Elephas maximus indicus: one gene and its partner. The protein of the gene in region 1 interacts with the protein of each later gene in a pairwise test. Links are inferred from orthologs where the notes say so. Each region holds a gene or a part of one and is shown on either strand. Other genes may lie near its edges.

The links.
Region 2: the proteins of EWSR1 (region 1) and ATXN3 interact in binary tests that used the Homo sapiens proteins (3 or more experiments, as listed by UniProt). The link is inferred for Elephas maximus indicus from reciprocal best matches to the Homo sapiens genes EWSR1 and ATXN3.

What each region holds. Positions count from the first base shown.
Region 1 is NC_064840.1:27,299,868-27,310,814, forward strand, and holds the start of EWSR1 (RNA-binding protein EWS), read right to left. Parts: upstream 5,586-10,947; 5' UTR 5,538-5,585; coding exon 5,525-5,537; intron 1,651-5,524; coding exon 1,614-1,650; intron 1,476-1,613; coding exon 1,424-1,475; intron 204-1,423; coding exon 77-203; intron 1-76. Other genes in the region: RHBDD3 (rhomboid domain-containing protein 3), read left to right, coding at 8,226-8,373, 10,457-10,840. UniProt on the Homo sapiens protein: Binds to ssRNA containing the consensus sequence 5'-AGGUAA-3'. Might normally function as a transcriptional repressor. EWS-fusion-proteins (EFPS) may play a role in the tumorigenic process.
Region 2 is NC_064828.1:105,673,043-105,683,733, forward strand, and holds the start of ATXN3 (ataxin-3), read right to left. Parts: upstream 5,611-10,691; 5' UTR 5,558-5,610; coding exon 5,534-5,557; intron 1-5,533. Other genes in the region: NDUFB1 (NADH dehydrogenase [ubiquinone] 1 beta subcomplex subunit 1), read right to left, coding at 9,746-9,782. UniProt on the Homo sapiens protein: Deubiquitinating enzyme involved in protein homeostasis maintenance, transcription, cytoskeleton regulation, myogenesis and degradation of misfolded chaperone substrates.

The DNA.
Region 1 (10,947 bases):
AGCGCATGAGTAAAACAAGCCCCTTAGCAAGTCCCCTAGCCATGTAACCCAACGTCCTCTGGGAGGCAGGTCTTACCAGTAGGAGGTTGTCCGTAAGAAGTTGCATAGGCCGTCTGCCCATAGGTTGCAGTGGTCTGAGCCTGGGTATAACTGACATCAGTGGGCTGTCCATAGGTTCCATAACTTTGTTGCCCATATGCCTGCTCCAAAGAAAATGGACACAAGAATTTCATGTACGTAACTTGTATTTTAGCAACAAAATGGACTGGCTTGCTTCCAAGTTCCTAAATTAGAGAAACCACAATCAAAATGTTGGTAAAAAGATTTTTAAAACAGACAAGTCATCACGGTATTATCAATGCTTGTTATCCCTTATCCAGTTGGCTCGTATTTTAGTAAACTGAAATACAAAAAAACCTCCTGAGATAATTAAGCAAAATCTTAGTCAACTACACAGGAGGTTAACAAGGTACTCAAGGGAGGTGCAATAAGGGCACAGGTATATAATTGCCAACACTTATAGTAGCACGGTTTCAGTAACTGGAAACAAATGTTAGCAAGACAAAATGAACAAAGAGAAAGAAAACAAAGACAGGACTAAAATTTGTCAATTTTGGAAACAAGCTTTTCAGCTTGATACAAACACTTTAAATATCACTTCAAAGAAAACAATCAGAACACTGTATGCCCTCTTAAGATTAGCACATCAAGAGTACTGCCTTTTGAACTTGGACATCAATAATACTTAAATCCAGGCAATGAATGAGCTGTTCTTTCAAACATTAGCATAATCATATCCTAGGTTTATCTAAATGACCAGTTATGTAAGATCTGCCAGAGATAACACATTCTGGCTGTCCTAGGTCCCCACGGCAGAGTTACTAGTATCCACCTAATGCCACAGGCCATTTCAGAATTCGACGTGATGTTGAGAACACTGGGAGGCTAACTCTAGAACCTGCTGGCCCAGGCTTTTAAACAGACTTGTGTACTGGAAAGAGCTCAGGAGCTCTGCAGCCACACAGCCATGGCTTTTAAAGTTGACCCTGCCACTTACTGTGCAGCCACCAGCAAATTACATAATCTTTATGTACTGCAATTTTCTTACCTGCAACATAGTCATAATATCATCTTAAACCTGTAGCACTGTTGGGATGATTAAATTAAATTAATTTAAACATAATAAAATATGCAGAAGCACCAAGCATGCAGCAGGGTACCACAGGTTTCACCTATGATGGCAGAATGAAATCCCTTGCACTCCCGCTGTGAAAGTTTAAATTCCTAGATATTTTATGATTATAAGCACATTACTATTTCACTTCTCTATTACCTAACTTTTGAAAATAATCCGTGCTATTTTAATAATCGATAAAAAATTTTACTTAGAGTCGCAGCTACATATAATTATCTTAAAGCATACCTGGGTGGTCTGTGCATATCCTTGAGTGGGCTGGGCGGTGTAAGCACTGTAGCTGTAAAAGAAATTAAATGCAAGAACTAAATATATAACATCCATATTCCATCACTACATCCTCTACATCTATAGGAGGCTCTACACTCTAAAAACAATAACCAACCACAGACAAAATACTGTCATAAGACTTACTTACCCCTGCTGGGCTGCAGCTTGGCTGTAGGTACTGTAATCTAGAGAAAACAAGGAGAGAAAATACATGAAAATGAGAAGAGAAAAAAGGGAAAGGAATTCAGACGGTAGGAAGACTGCTTCACAGATGTGCCTCTAATCTCTTGACACCAAACCAAAAGTAAGTCTGGGCCAGTTAAACTCAGAAAACTTAAGTCTGGTGCCAGCTAGCGAGGTCAAGATCAGGAGATCTGGCAAAGACACTTTGCATGTTCCGTGACCACAATGTCCCTCAACCACAGGCTGTCATTTCAAATACATGACCATCCGAAGACTCACAGAGAACAAGACTCACTAACAGGGTCAAAAGCGTCAATTTACCTTCATATAAAAAAGAAGGATGCGACAATATTTCAGTGTTTGATGTCAGACTAGTTCTATTCGTAGCTATACCTATCTCCTCAAAAACGAGCTTTTCTATCACTCCTTCACTTTATCAAGTCAGTCTAACGCTAAGTCCCTAGCAGGCCAACGACTGTGAAGTGAAATGGCAAAGGACAAGAGGACAGGCATCACAACCCAGTGTTTTCAAGGGTTTGCGGACTGTGTTGGGGCTACATTTGTGCAATAACTCAAAAGCTAGGTATATTATAAACCCCAGTGACACAGATTTAAGGCAGAATCCTGGAAACTGGCGAAGAGGGGAAGCATTTAATCTTTTTTGAATAATTTGGTTTTAGGTAAAACCACCTTATTTTTAAATACTCCAAGTGACTTTAATTTTTCAAAAAAAAAAATGCCACAAATTTTCTTCCCTTCTCTAAGTAAACCTTTCCACAATTTCCCATTTCATATGAAATTTAGAACATGTGTCAAAGAGGGACTAAACTCTGGTCCAACGAGGTGTCTACCAGTGGAAACAGAAAATAAAATGGTTGAGAAGTTTTCAGAGTACTACTGAAATAAACTTATATAAGCTCAGTTTATTTTAAAAAAAGAGCTGTTATTTTTTAAAAATTCTGCCCAATTCTTTCATCTTTCCTCTCTACTGTTTTATTCTGTGTTTGAAGATAGTACTGCCATTAGAACTGAACAAAAAGGTCCTTTTCTAATCAGAAAGTAGTCCCTCATCCAAAAACAATAGTTTATATTTCAGTTCTTCACCGAGTGGTTCTACCCTACTCTATCCAAAGCTGACCTCACAGCCCTGTCAACATTTTGCTAAACCCATCTCTTTAAGTTGGCTTATCTTTCTATCTCTCCATGCTTCACTTAGCCACTTTCTGTATGCCCTTAACTCTGAACCCTAAATCATCAAAATCAAATCAAATGCCCAAAGGCTATCGATAATACATTGCTTTGTTAAGACAACCTTAAGGCATTTGCAATAGCACAAATCACACTCTTTATGGGACATGAAAAAGTAAATGTGAACAACTTCCACGTGGCATTCACAAAATAAACATATCACCAACGAAGCATCTAAAATATTTCACTTCACATTTTGCTAATTTTTCTACGTTAGAAATTATTTTAAATCGCTGATACGTAAATTCAACGTTTGTAAGAGACCTTTTACACAACAGCAGTTATGTAAAACATAAAACTGGCAAAGCTGATAGGGAACAAATGATCTCAGATCAGTGTGAAACTAGAGGATTTAGCCCCATACTAGTGAGGCAGCTAGCATGCTTCATGAGAACTACTGTTTCATCTACCACACACAGAACTGTATGACCTCAAATATGCTTGCTACACTTACACCCTGGTCAGATTCTTTAGCAAGCAGGTGTATTTTGTTTTTAATCCCCAAATGTGCAGCTGAAGACTTCACTAAAAATACAGGACCGGCTGGGAAGGGGAAAGCGACTGTGATCCAGGGAGTTAGAGTGCTGGCAATGTTCTATTTCTTGATCTGGGAGTTTGTGTTTAATTCTTCGTTAAACTGGACATATGTTTGGGTACTTTTCTATATACCATATACATGGGGGAACATCTAAGATTACTCAAGACAGTAGCTAAACAATACTTTAGGGAGTTATTATCCAAACTGGAGAGATTCAAATATTCAGACTACATAATAAGTTATAGTCAATATAAGGCAACTCTGTGGTAGGCAATACGCTTTGCTGTAAGGTCAGCAGTTAAGGGCTCAAAAAGCCCTTTAAAGATCTAGCCTAACACCCTCATTTTGCAGGAAAGGAAACCAAGGTTGAGGTAAATTACATGACTCCCCCAAGACCCCCCCAGCCCAGTCTAATATTTTATGTACCTGCATAAACCACTACCGTAATTCTAATACAGTACAACGTGAATAAAGCTCAGTCTAATATTGCATGTATCTGCATAAACCATTACTGTAATTCTAATACAGTACAACGTGAATAACAACAGGATTTGAGCAAAACTGAAGAAGTAACATATCCAGCCACGCTGGCTCCTAAGGCTAAAGCCGTTGTTGCCCTTACAAAATTCAAACTGCAAGGAAGGGGAGGGAGGGTGGAAAGGCTATCTGTACTATGGCATTTCGGAGTCCTCCTCTGGGGGCACCTACAGCAACACTAGTCACCTGGTTACTAATCACAAAGTGGGGCAGCGCCAGAAACACATCCTTAAGTTGCTGGATCCCGGACTCTCCTCAAACTTAAACGCGAGAAGACCCACAGCTTTTCCTGTCTTTCCCTCTCATCTCCTCCCACTGCCTCTAGAAGGCAGGCCGCCTGAGAATCCCCCCAGACGCAAAAGTGCTGGCCCGTGCCACCAACCAACCGCCGGTGAGTGCACGAAGAGGCTGCCAACTGCAGGTGATCTGAAGACGACACTCTCTGGGAAATACTCCGTGCAGCAGAGACCACCTCATTCACCACATCCTGGAGTTCCCACGCTGGGCTTGCTTTCAAAGGCCTCGGTGCGTCTACCTTCCCTCTCCTCTATCAGCCCACGACTGAAACACGCCTGTCGCCCCTATGACTGCTTAAGGAGAATTCAAATGCCGGCTCGGGTCTTTTGTTCCTTTTAGGTCAAAGAGGCCAGAAATTTCTCATAGGAAGATCTCTGGCCTCGTGATCCAGGCAGGCCTTATTATACAACGGTTCTCCCTCGGCGTTGGCTGAAAAAGGGCCCAGGGAAGCGACTTACCGCTTTTAGGGAGGAGAGGTGGGGAAGTTACAAAAAAACGATGAAAATGAAGAAGGGAGGGAGCAGAGGCTTGGAGGCTCTGAATGGGGCTGAGGGGCATTCCGTCCACAGCCCAGTGCGGCCGAAGTTCGGCCTGCAGCCCGCGGAGGAGCTGGTCGGCGGCGCTGGACGCCTCCAGCCGCCCGGAGATCGAGGATGACGGGGCTCCAGCCCATAGGCCAAACGAGAGGCCGGCGCCCCTCGGCTCGCAAATCCGGGAAGCCTTTTTTGTCTGTTTGCTTTTTTTCCCCGGGCCTCTCCGAGGAGAAGAATCGCCCCTCAGGCTCGGGCCGCCTCCCGGGAAGAGAAGCGGGAATCAGTCACAGTGGCAGAGGGCCGGGGCAGTCACCCCCGCGGCCCGGGTTTCGGGGCTCCCCGCTCTAGGCCCGGCCAAGCCCCCCTCCCCCACGCGGAGCCAGGAGGCCGCAGGCCCCGCCCACGTGGCGGGCGGCCCGGCGCGCGGGGCCCGACTACCGCCACACAATGGAGGCCTCGGCGGGTCTCGCGCGCCCCCGCAGCCGCGCGCCGCCGCGAGCTCCCCACGCGCCAGGAGCGCCGGAAGGTTCCAGAACCGGCCTGCCCGGTGGGGGGAGGGGAGAGGAGCGGAGCGCGGGCACCCGAGCCCATCCGGCCGTGAAGAGTACCTCAAACCCCTCTCCACAGCTCCACTCGGTCGCCCCGGTTGCCCCCAGAGATGAGCGGTCCCCCGTTTGGGCGTCCCAACCGTCGCCACCGCGACCGCGGTTCCACCACACTCACCCGTGGACGCCATTTTCTCTCCTTCCTCCTCGTTCTCTCAACGTCCGTCTCCCTCTCGCTTTCCCCCTAGGCCCCGCACTGCGCAGGCGCGAGGTCCGCAACCTCGGGCGCTACCATCGGGCCAGGCCACGGGGGTGGGATAAGGAGGGATGAACCATCACTTTCTCGTCGTTTGCGCCCGCAACTCTTGTCCCAATCCTCTCTAAAGGGTGCTGGCTGCGAAGACGCGCGGACAAAATAGCACCGAAGGGGCTAGAGCGGCCGGTGAGTGGGTCTCAGTGTCAAACCGAAAGATTCTCAAGAAGCCAGGCTGTTAGTAATGGTTACGTCCGCTGGCTCTAGGGACCGTCTCTGAAGAGTCTACCCTGGAGGAAACGGAGGCCGGCGGGAGGGCTGGGGGAAGGGACCGGGGCCTAGAACAACTGCTGACTAATCGGCAGGCAGCGGGGAAGGGGCAGCGCAGCGGCCGGTCGGGGTCACGCGCCCGCGTGTGTGCGGATTAGGCTCGGGAGTCTGGGCCTCGGTGGGGGGTTAAAGGCCCGACTGCCAACTGGGGTCGCGCTCGGCCTCCCGGGGGTGGGGGGGCCGCACTCGCAGTGAGTACCTCAGACACGTGGCCCCGCGGCGGGGGAGGGGGCCGAGGCCGGTCAGTAGGGTGGGAGGTCCCGAACGCTGCGCCCGGCTCCGAGAACCCCCTCCCCCTGCCCCATAACGGTCGAGGTTGAGAAGGCTCATTAATCACCTGTTATCCAATAACCTGGTTTTTACAGCAGGGGAAACTGAGGTCCAAGGAGGTTGGGTACTTTGCCCAAAGTCACAAAGCTGAGTCCGACCCAGACCCAGAGATCCCCCCAACTTTTCACCACCCGGGAAGAAGCTCCCCTGCCTTTGTCTTCCCATTCTATCTTTCTAGTTTCCCAGTAAGGTACACAGGGCCTGATGGTGCACCACCCCATTTTGTAGATGAAGAAACTGAGGCCCAGAGGGTTCAAGTCCTAGTTCTGGGTGTCCTTGGGTAGGCAGGTCCTTCACGCTCCCTACAGTGCCTTGGGAGGGAGTAGTTGTGAGGGTGCAGGAAGAGGCTTGCAGTGGACCTTTGGCTGCAGACCCAGCCTCGTGGCAAAGCTGGTACCTGCAGGCCTTCCTAGAAGGGACCTCAGCAATGGCTCAGCACAGTGGGGGGCTGGGCTCACCCCAAATCCCTCGGTGGAACCAGAGCCAAGCTAGTGTCTTTCAGCAAGCACACTATGCACCTGCTGTGTGCTAGGAACACCCTGGGAAGCTTGGGGATGAGTAAGAGAAGCCCTTCCATGAGCTCAAACCACCTGCCTTAGAAGACAGACAGGCTAAGCTGAGCTTGTAATAAAGGATAAAATCTGTTGGTAAGAGGAAGGGCCAAAGGAGACATTTGAGCTGGGTTTCAAAGGGTAAATAGGAGTTTGCCTGTTGGAGGATGGAGGGAAGGACACTGCAGGCAGGGGAGCTTTCTACATTTTTCCTACTGGAAACTGGCAAGTGGGTTTTGATGCTAAGGTTGCCCTCGGCAAGGGAGCAGATGAGGCAGCCTTCTTGTCTCTCTGGGGTCCTACTTCCTGCCCTATGGGAGACTGGAGGCCCAGCCTGTATGACAAGCTGGGTAGCAGAGGGGAGAACAGGGGAGAGAAAGTCTTGCCTTGTGGAGGCAGGGAATGGACATGGTTGAGGGCCAGGGCTAAGACCAGCCAGGCCAGAACAGGGAGTCTGTTGGTGTCTATATCTGCCTTCCACAATTAGCGGGGATGGCCATGGTTTATTGAGTAGGAGCTGCAGACCAGGCCCTGCCTTAGCCCATACCTTCTTATCATCTTGTGAGGAAAAGGTTTTCTTAATCCCCATTTTACAGATGAGGAAGGAGAGGCTCAGAGGTTGGGAAGCTTGCCCAGGGACATGCAGCAGGAAGAGGCAGAGCAGGAAATCTCCGGGGGGGGGGGGGGGCGCGGGGGTTGGACAAGAGGGGTGGTGATAGGGCCCAGGTAAGAAGAGAGTGGGTGGCTCTGACCACTGGCACTTTGTATGTGTGAATGGGAAGGTGACTCCTGTTGCCCCTCCTCCAGCCCCCTGCCCCACCCCCTCCCCAATCCGTTTGTCTATTGGCTGGCCCATTTTGCAGACTCTTCCTTGCAACTCCTGCCTCTGTCAAGGGCATCCTAGGTCAGCCTGGCTGGGCCAGATGGCCTGGAGCTCAAAGGCTGGGCACAGTGGAAGGGAGGAAGGGAGCTGGCCAACTAGGGAGCTGGCCTGAGGGAAGGGAGGCCAGAGGAGGGCTGGAGATGGTTCTGAATTTGCTCTGGGGCACTGCACCCCTCTTTCTGGGAGCCCAGGGCCCCAATTCAACTTCCCTAGGCCTATGCCTCCCACCCCCAGACCCTTTTTCGGGGCCATCAGGGCTCAGGGCCCTTTGGGCCTGGCCCCTGCCATCCTTACACATGGACAGGCAGGATGGTAGAATGGCTAAGCACATGGGTTAGGGTCCAAGCTCTGCCATGGCTAAGCTGCTTGGCTTGCCTCTTCAGCCTCAGTTTCCACTTCTGTAAAATGGGGCTGTTGTTGGCAGGGTGGGTGAGAGGGAGTCAATGAAATAAAGGCTGTGACAGTAACCATTGCTATTATTCTCCTTTACCCTCAGCACACAGCCCCAGGACCACTCTTGACCACTCTCAACATGCATGCCAGGGGCCCCCCTGGCCCACTGTCCCCGGCCCTGCCTCTCACCTCTTCCACTTTGATGCTGCTGATGAGTGGCCTGTGGCTGGTCGGGGCCGGCCCCAGCCTCACCCTGGTCCCGGAACTGCTGCTGGAACCCTGGCAGGGTGAGGGCCACGTGGGGCTTGGAGGAGGCAGGAGACTTGCAGTGGGGCCGAGACCAGTCACTTGCCTTCTCTGGGCCTGTTTCGTCACCTGCAAACTAGGGGTCATATTAGCAGTTACTCTTTTATTGAACACAGTTGGATGGAGTTGCTCAAGCAGATTCCCGAGTGACTGTATTACACAAAACAATTTGATAAGCACCTATCCATCCATTCATTCATTCAATAAATATTCATCAAGTACCTACTACATATTACACATGGTTCTCAGTGAAGGGGATGCAACAACGAACAAAACAAAGGCCTTGCTCTCACGGTGCTGTCGATCTGGAAGGGGAGACCCATGAAAAAGTGACTGCCTAGTAGGTCAGGTACTGATACGCGCTGAGAAGCAGGTGACCAGAGTGGGGGGTAGAGAGTGATAGGGTGGTTCTGGAGGGTCTTTGTGATACGCGCTGAGAAGCAGGTGACCAGAGTAGGGGGTAGAGAGTGATAGGGTGGTTCTGGAGGGTCTTTGTGAGAGGGTGACATGGGGCAGAGCCCTGCAGAGACTGAGGGCGCCTGCTGGCCATACAGAGATCCCAGGAAGAGCATTCTAGGCGGGGGGACAGCAGAGTAAAGGCCCTGCGGTCAGAGAATGTTGGTGTCCTTGTGGGGCTGCAAGGAGGCCAGAATAGTGGGAGTAGAGTGACTGGGGGGATGTAGGGTCTTGAGGACTTTGGCTTTGAGTGCGGTGGGGGCCTTGGAGGGCTGTGAGCAGAGCAGTGACATGATCCGACTTGGGTTTTGATAGCCCCTCACTGCCCTACCCCCTGGCTGGGGAATAGACTGAAGGGGGTTAGGGGTGGAAGCCAGGAGCCCGGTGAGGAGGTCACAGCAAAGATCCTGGTACGAGATGATGGCCTGGACTGCGAGGCAGGGATGGCCATGGGACAGGGTGACTTTTCAGGTACATTTCGAGGACAGAGCTGACGGGCTTGGAAGCTGGTTTGAATGTTGGGGCCTGAGCAACTGGAAGGAGCCTGGAGGGAGCAGGTTTTCTGGAGAATAGAGAGTTTGGTTCTGGACATGTGAAGTGTGACAGGCCGATTAGACACCCCTGAGGCAGAGAGCGAACTGGCTTTTGGGTGTGAGTTGGATGTCTGGGTCGGAGGCAGAAATTCAGAAGGCGTCAATGTATCTGTGGCATTCGAAGCCTAGAATGGATGGGGTGGCCAAGGGGTGAGGGTAGAGATCCAGATGGCTCCTGGCATTGGTGGCAGTCATTGGTGACCCTGACAAGGGTGACTTCGGAGAACAGGGACAAGGGAGGCCAGGAGAGGTGGTGGAAGCAGAGAGGGGAGGCGGTTCTTTAGCGGTTTTGCTCTAAAGGGGAGCAGAGAGATGGGCAGTGGCTGGAGAAGGGGAGGCCTGCAGGGTGTTTGGGAGGTGACCGGAACACTCCAGAGAGAGGGGAAGTCAGCACTGCAGGTGAGAGGGACCTAGTTGGGAGGGGACCCAGTGCCCTGGAGAAGGCCATCCTTGGATGGGAGCATGCCCAGCTCATCCCCCAGCAAGAAGGGAGGACAGAGGGCCAGCAGGGTGGGCTGGAAGATTGTGGGTGGGAGCTCTTTTCTGATGGCTTCCCTTTCACAGTGAAATGTTAGGTCTTCAGCTGAGCATGTTTTCCAATAATAACAACAGCTACAATTTACATTTGAGGAAACCAAATGATGCTCAGAGAGGTAAAGTGACTTGTCCAAGGTCACACAGCTGGGGAGGGGGGAGGGTCCAGGATTGAAGCAGACAGTTTTATCAGAGCCCACATGATGGATTCAGTAAACGTGTATGCAAAGCACCTTCACGGTGCCTGGGGCGTAATCAGGACTCAGCAATGGTTGCCCTGTTGTATACAGCAGGAGCGTGGCCATATCGGTCCTTGGTCCTCTCCTCATTAACTGATGGCCGTGGGCAGACTCTGGCTCCTGGAAGGGAGGTTGGCTCAGCGGGTGGCCCTGGTGGAGGGTAACCCACAACCTGGCACAGCTGGGGCAGCCTTGGAGGTTGGGGCTGTTAGCCCAGCGCCTAAGCCCCTTCTCTCTCCCAGCGCACCGGCTGCTGACCTACGCCCTGGGCCACACTGCCCTGCCAGGCCTGCTCCTAAGCCTGCTGCTCCTGGCCACGCTGGGCTGGCAGCAGGAGCGCCACCTGGGCACCCTGCGGTTCCTGCATGCTTCGGCCCTGCTTGCCCTGGCTGCTGGGCTGCTGGCCGTGCTGCTAGGGGCCCTTGGGGTGCCCAGTGTGGCTGGTGGCTGTGGATACATGCCCGTCCACCTGGCCATGCTGGCGAGGGAGGGTCGACGCCCCGGACGGCCCCGAGGGACACTGCCACCGTGGCTGCTGCCCTGGTTGCTTCTGAGCCTGACCCCGCTGCTCAGCTCTGAGCCGCCCTTTCTGCAGCTCCTCTGTGGCCTCCTTGCCGGCCTGGCCTGTATCCTTTGCCTGGGACCCAGAGCCTGTGGGAGCTGTGGATTCTGTAGCCTGGGGAGGAAGTGGCACAATAGGGGTCAGGCCCAAGCAATGCTAGGATGCAGTGCA
Region 2 (10,691 bases), on another chromosome or scaffold:
CCGCAAAATTGAAAACGGGGACTCAAACAGGTACTTGTACACCAACATTCAGAGCGGCATTATTCCCAACAGCCAAAAGGTGGAAACAATCCAAGTGTCCGTCAACAGATGAATACATAAAATGAGCTACAGCCATACAACGGAATATTATCCAGCCATAAGAAGGAATGATTTTCTAATACCTGCCACAACATAAGTGTTGAAATTATGCTAAGACACAAAAGGACAAATACTGCATGGTTCCACTTCTATGAAATATCCAGAATAGGCCAATTCATAAAGTCCTAAGGCAGATTAGAAGTTACCAGGCTGGGGGAAGGGAGAAATGGGAAGTTACTGCTCAACGGACACACGGTTTCTGTTTAGGGTGATGAAAAAGTTTAGGAAATAGATATGGTGATGTTTGCACAATACAATATTGTGAATATAATTAATGTCACTGAATTGTATGCTTAAAAATGGCTTGAATGACAAGTTTTTCGTTAATATATTTTATCACGATAAAGCTTTTTTTTTTTTTTAAGTATAAGAATGTTCAGAGAAGCACTGTTCCCAAATGGAAACTACTCACATGCCTGTCACAACAGAATGGACAAATTGTGTTATTCCCACAAAGGAATACTATATAAAAATGAGAATGAATTAACTATCTGAAATAATACGGGTGAATCTCTCAAACAACATTAAATAAAAGACAGGCTCAAAAGAGTAAAACTGTATGATTCTATTTACAAAAACTCAAAAACTGGCAAAACTGATCTGTGATGTTAGGATTCTGGATAGTGGTTACAAGGGTGGGTGTTCCCAGGGGTATGGGGATGGAGAGTTAGCACATGGAAGAGGGCACAAGCGCTGCTTCTAGGATGCAGGTAAACGTTCCATTACTTGAGCTAAGTGTTGTTTACACACATGTGTTCACTCTGAAAATTCTATGAGCTGTAGTCTTGTGATCTGTATGCTTCTGCATGTATTATGGAGCTCTGGTGGCACAATGGTTAAAGTGCTCAGCTGCGAACTGAAAGATTGGTGGTTCGAACCCACCAGATGCTCCATGGGAGAAAGATGTGGCAGTCTGCTTCTGTAAAGATTTACAGCCTTGGAAACCCTATGCGGCAGTTCTCCTCTGTCCTATAGGGTCGCTATGAGGTGGAATAGACTTGATGGCAATGAGTTTGGTTTGGGGTATGTATCATACTAAATTCTTAAAAAATTCAAATAACAAAAAAGACTGCTCAGATACAGCTATTCCGCAGATGAGGAGCACCTTAACACAGGGATCAGACATTGGACTTTCTGGGAACAGTCCTAGTGCAAATTTTCTGTCTGGTTGTCAAGTCATGTGCTTCCGTTTGGAGTTCTCAAACTCTGGTCACCGAACTTATATATAGGCACAGGGACATTCAAATATTTGACCTAAAAAAATAAAGCAAGCCCTATAAAAAGAAATTAACTTTGAAATACAAAAAATAAACACCTGAAAGCAAACTTTAAGCAAAATGATGGCTACAGGAAATAATAGCAATATGTTCTGTACTTCTAATACAACTTCACGGGACAGGGGGATGATCCAAAGAACAAATTGTTCAGTCCAAATTTGAAATCACTTTTTATTAAAGTCACAAAATGAATCAAATTTTACGTGGACCAAAAAATACTGTCCCACCCAAGATTAGGCATCCTCCTCCCTGAACTAGCCCCAGCCACCCCTTTTTGAGTCACTATCATCAAGCTCTAACCAAAGTCGAACAGAAGCTGGATTTGCTAGCATCACAGCTCAGTGGTATTTAAATGCCATGAGTTCACGTCCAAACTTCATTGTGTCGGGACCAAGGAAGAACAGACTGAATCGCCAGTTCCACCAAGAAATTTTATAAAACCACAAAATGGAACTGCAACCAAATCACGTTCCCTTTAAGGTCTTCAGGACCAACCTAAAACTAGTTCACATTCCCAGGGACACTACTAACTACAATAGAAACCAGGCATAAACCTAACGGTGCTCTCAGAAGTGGGCTAGCCCAGGGACATGCAATCCACCCAGCAGCAGTTCATTTCCTCTTAGAGTTCTCACATCGCCTATTATGAGGTGCAGCAAATACAAAGCATCTGAGTAACGACAATGGCCAGCACTTCTCTAGCACTTACTATATGCCAGACAATGTTCTATGCATGCATAACTCTGAGATTTTTGTTGTTTTTAGCTGCCTTCAATAACTCTGAGGTGGACACTTCATTACCCTCACGAGCACAGCAATAAGAAGTAACTTGCCCAGGATCATACAGTAAGTGGCAAAGCTAGGTAGGATTCAAACCCACGCAGAGGTTCCAAAGTCTGTGCTATTACCACTTCCTCGAGTCACTGACTTGGAATTTGGTTATTCCTAAACCGCAAATATCCTAAAGGCGGCTAAGAACCAGCAATCACAAAAGCGCATAACGGATGTCATAAAGCCAACCCTCAGCAACTTTTCACTCATTTTAAACACAACTCTTACAGCATTCCTAGTTCACATTACATTAAAAGTACCAAATCCAGGTGGCACAATGTCCACACCAACAGCCATCAGCAATGCAAGAGCTAACAAAAATAAAAGAAAGCAGTCCATGGAACTAAAAAAAAAACAAAACAGCAATTAATTGCCATTTAGTATTAATGTTTAGATTGACATTGTGTGCCCTCAAGTCCATTCTGACTCAGCACCCTGTATGACAGAATACAACTGCACCACAGGGTTTCCCTAGGCTGTAATCTCTACTGGAGCAGATCACCAGGTCTTTTCACCTGCAGAGCGGCTGGTGGGTTCCAACCGCCACAGAGCACTGCTCCGCCAGGGCTCCCTTAGGGCTTTTGTTATGGGTTCAGCAAATTACAGCCTGCAACCAAATTCAACTTGCCCCAGTAGCTAAGAATGGCTTTTAAATTTTTAAATGGTTGGGGGAAAAAAAAAAAAAAAAAAAAACCGAAGAGGAATATGTGACAGAGACCATATGTAGCCCGTGAAGTCTAAATTATTTACTATCTGGCCCCTTATGGAAAAAGTTTACTTCAGGTAAAAAGCATCATACACATCTTAGATGCTCAAGGAACTCTCCTGATTCAAACATTTATTGAGCACCTACTATGAGTCAAGGCACTATTCTAGGCACTACCCACCCACCTACTGCCGTTGAGTTGATGCCGACTCATGGCAACCCTACAAGGTTGAATAGAGCAGAACTGCCCCATAGAGCTTTCAAGTCTGTAAATCTGTACAATAGCAGACTGCCACATCTTTTTCCTGCATTCTAGGCACTCAGGATATATACGTGAACAACTGCTTACAGTTTAGCTTAATAAAGGGTACTCAAATAAAGGGTACCCAAACTCTGAAAACAGGGAAAGCAACACTCCAAGTGGAAGTGGCTGAGAGGTCCTCTGCAGGCTGGTATCCCTACCAACACAGCTTCATCGTGGCAGAGATGGCTCTCTGGCTCTCCAAGCCCAGGGCCTATTGTTGTTAATGGCTGTCAAGGCACCCCCAACTCATGGTGACCCCATGCACAATGGAATAAAACGCTGCCCAGCCCTCTGCCATCCTGTGATTGGTTGCGGATCAGACCATTGTGATCCACAGAGTTTTCACTGGCTTATTCACAAACCACCACTGGCAGACAGGTAGTGGCTGCATGTGTGGTGCTGCAGTCAGGAGCTGAACTCAGATCTCCGGCACAGAAGACAAGACTATCTTACCACTAAACCACTGATGTCCCCAGCACAAGGTCTAAGCACAATTAAAGATATGTGGCGGGGGGGGGGGGGTGCTCTGAGAGATGGGAGAATATGTGATTAAAGATGAGCCGTATGGTTACATGTGCTTTCCATATTCTTGAAACATGCCTGAAGAACTTTAAGAGCCTTTATTTGCTAAGTACATATTATAAACAGATGACAATAAGAGGAAACAGATGCCTGAAGTATCTGTGCAGGGGATGGCATCCTAATCTTTACGCCTAAACACGTTGAGAGTGACTTCTTTCAGGTAAGTAGTTTTCAATAGGCTGGGGCCCAGGTTCCTTTAGTCCCATGGTCCAGCAGTTACCTTCACTGATATATATCCAAAGTAGGTAACAATCAGTACTGTTAAAAATACACTGCATGAAATGGTATATGAAAATGTTTAAAGTCTTCCATGTTGAAAACACCTGGTGCTACACCAAAGCTTTGAAAATTAACAAAAATATATACATGCAAGTTTCTCTAATCTTTACCCAATCTCCTGAGCCAAGCAGCTAAATCTCTCTAGTCCAAGATTCATAAAATACGTCAATCAAATCAAAAGATTAGCTATAACCATACCACTGAGTCCTTCCTCTCCGCACACATAAAAATCAACCAACTTGAGCTCCAAAACTTTCTGAAATGTATTCTATAAAAAGCATTCCCTTTAACAATTTGTTTAAATTTATACTATAAGTCACCTTGCCTCTTTTGTTTTTCACTGTCTCGTGTGTGTGTATTTAAAAATGTCTTCCACCATGGATCATTCACAAGTATTTAATACGATAACCCTTCGCGCCTACTAAATAAATAACAGCCTCACAGCCACCCTTTCCAAACATGAAACTATTATGAAACAAGATGCCATCTGCCAAAGTTGTCCCAAGGAAGGTTTCACTCACACCCAATGCCTTGATAATTGTATGCGAGACAAGACCAGCTTCTCCACATAACACAAGCAGCATCATTCAATTACGTGGCCATTGAAAAATCAAAGCAAGAACAGGCTAGGCGGACCACACCAACAAAATTATTCCAGTCCACCCCTAATACCTAATAACAAAGCTGGCCTCCTGATGTAGGAAGATGGAAATAGCAAACGAAACTAACCGCAGATATCCCATAACAAAAACTCTTGTGACGACTTACTTCCCTGCATGGGATTTCCGCCTCTACTTCCCTAAGTGTCAGGCCCTACGAATGGGCGAGCTAAGGTTCCTGACCTGGAGAGGCTCAGGAACCTAGCGCGGGAGGAAGCCAGGCACATAACCCCAAAGATCTAATTGTATGGGAGATTCCAATATAGAACTGAGGCGCCCAGAGAAGGAAGTGAATTCTGCCAGGGGTGGGCGTGGGGAAAAGCGGGGGAGTTGGGAAGGGCTGGGGGAAGTTTCCGAGAGGTGACTCGGGCTACAACCAGGGAGCACAGGGGAGAAGGGAATGGAGAAGAGTTTCCCCGAAAAGGCTACACAAAGTGCCGGAGAAAGGTAGACGCTGACCCACTCGGTGCCGCCGCCGCCTCCTTCCGTGTCCCGAGGCGCCCCCTGGCCTTGCCCTCACTCCCTCCCGAATCCCCGGGCGTCCCGGTCCGGCTCCTCGGCGTTTGTAAAGCTCCCCTCCCAGTGCCGAGAAGACGGGCGGCTCGAGCGGCCCGCACCCGGAGAGGCCGGGATGGGGGCGACTCAGAGCCCCACCCAGCCCTCGCAAGGCGGCGACACCGCACCCCTCGCCCGCCACCGCGCCGCAGACAGGTCCCCACCGAACGCGGACACTCACTTTCTCGTGGAAGATGGACTCCATGTTTATTTGTCTGGAGCCAACGGCCCCCGCATCGAACCACCCCCCTCCGGCTCCGCCCCTCCGCCCCACCCTCTGCCTACCCCGCCCCGCCCCACCTCGTCCCGCCCCTGCCCTCGTGCCTTACGAAGACCAATCACCCTCGAGGATGCGAGTCACGTGGAGCGAAGAGCCAGTGAACGCCAGGGCGGTAATCGCAAGGGCACGTGACCTTTGTAGCGTGTCCTCCCAGTTCCTGATACCAAGCCGGCTGAGGGTTGCCGCAGCGCCCCCTGCGGTCTGGAGGCTCTTCTCTTCTTCTCACCCATTACTATGGATTCTTAGGCTTTTCCAGGTCTAGATAAGGACCACTCGGATTCTATGTTCTTTTTTCTTTACACTTTGCTTTGAACTTTCTACTTATCACACCTACGATAATTATTTATTATCTTTTCCCCCCTCCCACTGCAAGCCTCATTGAGAAAAAGGCATCATTGTATCCCCCAATACCTTGCAATGATGTGAAAATGATATTTTTATATATATATATATACATTTTTTTTTTTATGGGTTAGGAAACCCTGGTGGCTTAGTGGTTAAGTGCTACTGCTGCTAACCAAAAGGTCGGCAGTTCAAATCCACCAGGCGCTCCTTGGAAACTCTGTGGGGCAGTTCTGCTCTGTCATATAGGGTCTCTATGAGTCGGAATCGCTCCGATGGCAACAGGTTTTTTTTTTATGGGCTAGATTAAGTGCTAGGGCTATTAACCAAAAGGTCTGCCCTTGGAATCCACCAGGCTCTTCTTGGAAACTCTATGGGCAGTTCTAATCTGTCCTTCGGGGTTGCCATGAGTTGGAATCAGCTCAACGGCAACGGGTTTTTACTATGCTGGTACAGTGGTTAAGAGCTCAGCTGCTAACCAAAAGGTCGGCAGTTCAAATCCACTAGCAGCTCCTTGGCAACCCAACGGAGCAGTTCTGCTCTGTCCTGTAGGGTTTCTGTGTGTCGGAATCTGGTTTAATTTTTTACTATGGGCTAGGCTTTGCATACATTAAAAACCAAACTTATTGCTGTGGAGTCAATTCCAACTCATAGGAATTGACTGTAGAACACAGTAGGACAGAGTAGAACTGCCCCACAGGGTTTCCAAGGAGCCATTGGTGGATTTGAACTCCAACCTTTTGGTTAGCAGCCGAGTCCTTAACCACTGTACCATCAGGGCTCCTTGCATGTATCGGTGACTCTTAACATAGCAACCTCTGATGTAGGCAGGGGCCAATTACCCAATAAGGAAGGTTAGCACGGGATTACTTGTGTTTACTTACTAATCTGTAGTGAACAATTTCACATGGGTTTCACCACATCTTTGTCTCCATATCACCATGTCTTTGTGTGAAATCCTTGTGAAATTGCTCACTATAGATTTGTAAGCAAGCACAAGTATAAGTAAACACAAGTAAGCCCATGCTTACTTTGTTTACTGGGTAATCCATCCCCGTCAGGGATTACAAATCTGAAAAGAGGCTTCAATTCTGTAGGAAGGTGCTCTGGGGTGGAGGGAGGGACAGATGCCAGCCATATGCAGAAGTAGAATCTTTGATGTGGTGGAAAAAAAATAGCTCTTTTCAGATGATCTAGTAAGCAAGGTAAGCATCATGCTTACTTTGCCTTTTGGATAATCCACCCCTGGATTTAGCTATTACTATCATCTCTATTTTACACGCTGGGCGACTGGGCTATTTTACACATAAGGACGGAGATGGAGGCACAGAGATGTTAAGAACAGCACAAGTCCAAGGTCACTAGCAAGTTGCCATGAGAGGGTTCGAATTCAGGCAGCTTGTTCTGGTGTTGGTGCTCTGGTGCTAAAGAGGAAGCCTTGATTGGAAGAACTGAAAAGTCCCATAAAGTATGTGTATGTGGTGGAGGAGATGGGGAGGATGGATAAAGCGGAAGGGGTCAAATAGCAGATCTTGCAACTTGAAGCCAAGTTAAGGAATGTGTACTTTTTAAGGGCAGCTGGGGAGCTACAGCTTTTCAAAGAAGAGGCATGCTCAGATTTGCATTTTACAGAGAACACTCTGGCTGTAGAAGACAGCAGTGCCAAGAAGTCAGCTAACATGAGTTTACAACAGCCCACTAGGTTTTGTTGCTATGCAGACCATTGGTAACTTTCGTGATGCAGGTTCAGGGGGTAGAGGGGACAACAGGAGGTAAGGAAATGGAGACTGCATGTGTTCAAGAGGAAGATCCAGTTACCATTTATTGAACACCTCTGGGCACACAGTTCAGCGTACTGTTTGGGAAAAACAGTCCCTGCTCTTAAACTGTGGCCTAATGGGGAAACAAATCACAGTTCTCATTAAAAAAAAAAAAAACTCACAAGCCACTTTTTCTGTTTTAAAAAAAGTGTGCATCCATGTGAGGAAATATTTATTTTTTCACGTACGTACATGATTAACGTGCTTGGCTGCTAACCGAAAGGCTGGAGGTTTGTGTTCACCTAGAAAAATTCCAAAAGAAAGTCTTGGCAATCTGCTTCTGAAAAACCAGCCGCTGAAAACCCCATGGAGCACAGTTCTACTTTGAAACACATGGAGTCACCTCACCATGAGTTGGAATTGACTCGATGGCAACCAGTTACTGGTTATACATTACACATTACACAAGCCAGAGGTTGAGATGGGAAGAGAACTAGGCAAAAGGGGGACAGAGTGGGAGGCTTTTCATTGTATGCAATTTTATTCTTGATCTTTGAACTATATTATTTATTTCAAAAAAAATTGATGCGATTAATTGCTTAAAACCAAAACACCAAAACCATTGCCATAGAGTCGATTCAACTCATAGTGACCCTGTAGGACACAGAACTGCCCCATTTGGTTTTCAAGGCTGTAATCTTTGGGGAAGCAGACTGCCAATCCTTCTGAGGAGTGGCTGGTGGGTTTGAAAGGTTGACCTTCCAATTAGCAGCCAAGTGCTTAACCACTGCACTGCCAGGGCCCCTATTAATTGCTTATGAGGATGTAAACCCCTAGAGGACCTTACTGTTGAATCCTCAGCACCTAAAACAGTGTTTAGCCAAAAGGCACTAAATATGAATTAATGCTAATCATTTCATTGATGTGTGATTAATAATAAATGTCATAAAGTGAAAAAGGTCAACACCTGGGAGTCAGAATGCAAGTTCTAGTTTTGGCTTTGGCACTTAAGCCACGTATAATTTGGGGATTAGATCCATTGTTTTCCCTATTTCAATTAATGCCTCCACTTCAAATTCAGCATGTCCTAAACTCTATTCCACTTTGAAAGAAAAATCATACCATCCTTCAAAATTCAATGATCACACTTTCCAGGATGACTTTCTTGACTTCTGAATAATTTAGACCTCCAAGTCGGAATCAACTTGACAGCAGTGGGTTGGCCCCTCCTCTGAATTTCTGTACATGCATCTATCATACATAGTACCTTTCATACAGTATCATAAAGTTTGGTTTAATCATACATCTGTCAATATCCTATAAATATCTTGATGGCAGGCCTGTCTTAATTGACTTTGTGTCTCTAGTGTTTGATGTCTGTTGAATAAATTAATGAAGGCAACTATCTGGGAATCATTCTTGATTCTTTACCCCCTCCCTGCAACTGTTCCACATCACCCCTTATTTCAATCAGTCCTCGAATACTGTGTTCTCACCCGTCTCTCCCATTTGTTTTCACTGCTGTTGCTCAGTTCAAGCCCTCTGAGTGCCTTGTGTAGTCTAGTCTAAGGATCTCTAAATTGGCCTTCTGACTCCAGTCTCTATACACCTGAGTCATAGTTCTATCAGTGATCTTTCCAAAAATGCAAATCACACCAGTTTTCCTTTCATTCAACAAATAGTGTTTCTATACACCAGTCACTGGGACTATAAGTACCTGTGGGGTGGGGTGGGGTGGGGGGAATTGACCATTTGATTTAACAGTACCATGGTTTAAAATGAGAAAGAGAAAATTAAATGCTAACTGTAAACTTAACACCAACGTATACAATTAAAAAAAAAGAAAATTTAGGTACCCAGTAATTGTGTTTTTAATGAATGGATTTTAAAATTTGAAAATTATTTTAGCATAAAAAGAATCACACTCCAAATTCTTCAAATAATAAACATGTTTTTATTTTTCTCATAATATTTAAAATATCATTTACATTTTGTAATTCAGCCACAGCTTTTACTTCCAGGTAACTTCTTCATTGGGTTTCAATTCCCTGCGTGGAAAAAAAGAAGGAAAAGAATAAATAAAACTTTTATAAAGAGATAAAAGGGGAAGTTAAAGGAGTGTGAATTCAATGTTATATTCTATTAAGTTGCCCCATTTTTAAAGCTTTACATGAGATTCAACATATTCATCCTATTCCCTCACGATTTTACTCTACCTTCAACTGCATTTTTCCCAATTAAAAAACTATAATTTCTTAGTCTAGCTTTATATGAAAGCTATTATCTTTTCAATGATTCCATTTAATGTTTTCTGCACCCTTTCCAGCTTGTTTTCCCTTTCTTGAAATCCTTGATGTGTGACCCACCTCTACGTATCAACTGTGGCCAACGCTCAAGTCTTTTGCTCCTTGAGCATCCTCCTGCCCAGTGTGCACACCTACTGGCAGATATCCTGTCTAGCTTACTCTAACTCTCTGCTGCCAGAGGAGATGTCTTCAGAGACATAAGGAGGCCAGGCAGCTGACAACTGCTATTCGATCACTCAACCACCATGTCTCTTTAAAGCACTCTTGTGGAGAACATAGCACTTGGCTGTAATCTTTATGGAAGCAGATCGCCAGGTCTTTCTCCTGCATAAATGCGAGATGGGTTTGAACTGCCAACCTTTTGATTAGCAGCTGAGCTCTTAACTGTTGTACCCCTGCGGCTCCTAACGCCACTATCAATACTACAATCTGCTCCTGTAAAGATTATAGTGTAGAAAACCCCACGGGGACAGTTCTGCTCTGTCACACTGGGTCACTATGAGTCAAAAATCAACTTGACAGCACCCAACAACATTTCAGCTACATCCCGGCTTAAGTAAGATAGTACATGATAATATATGTGAAAGCAGTATACAGGGTAGGCTTTACAGAGCTGTTTCAAATTTTGTTTCTATGGTAAAATATACTTTG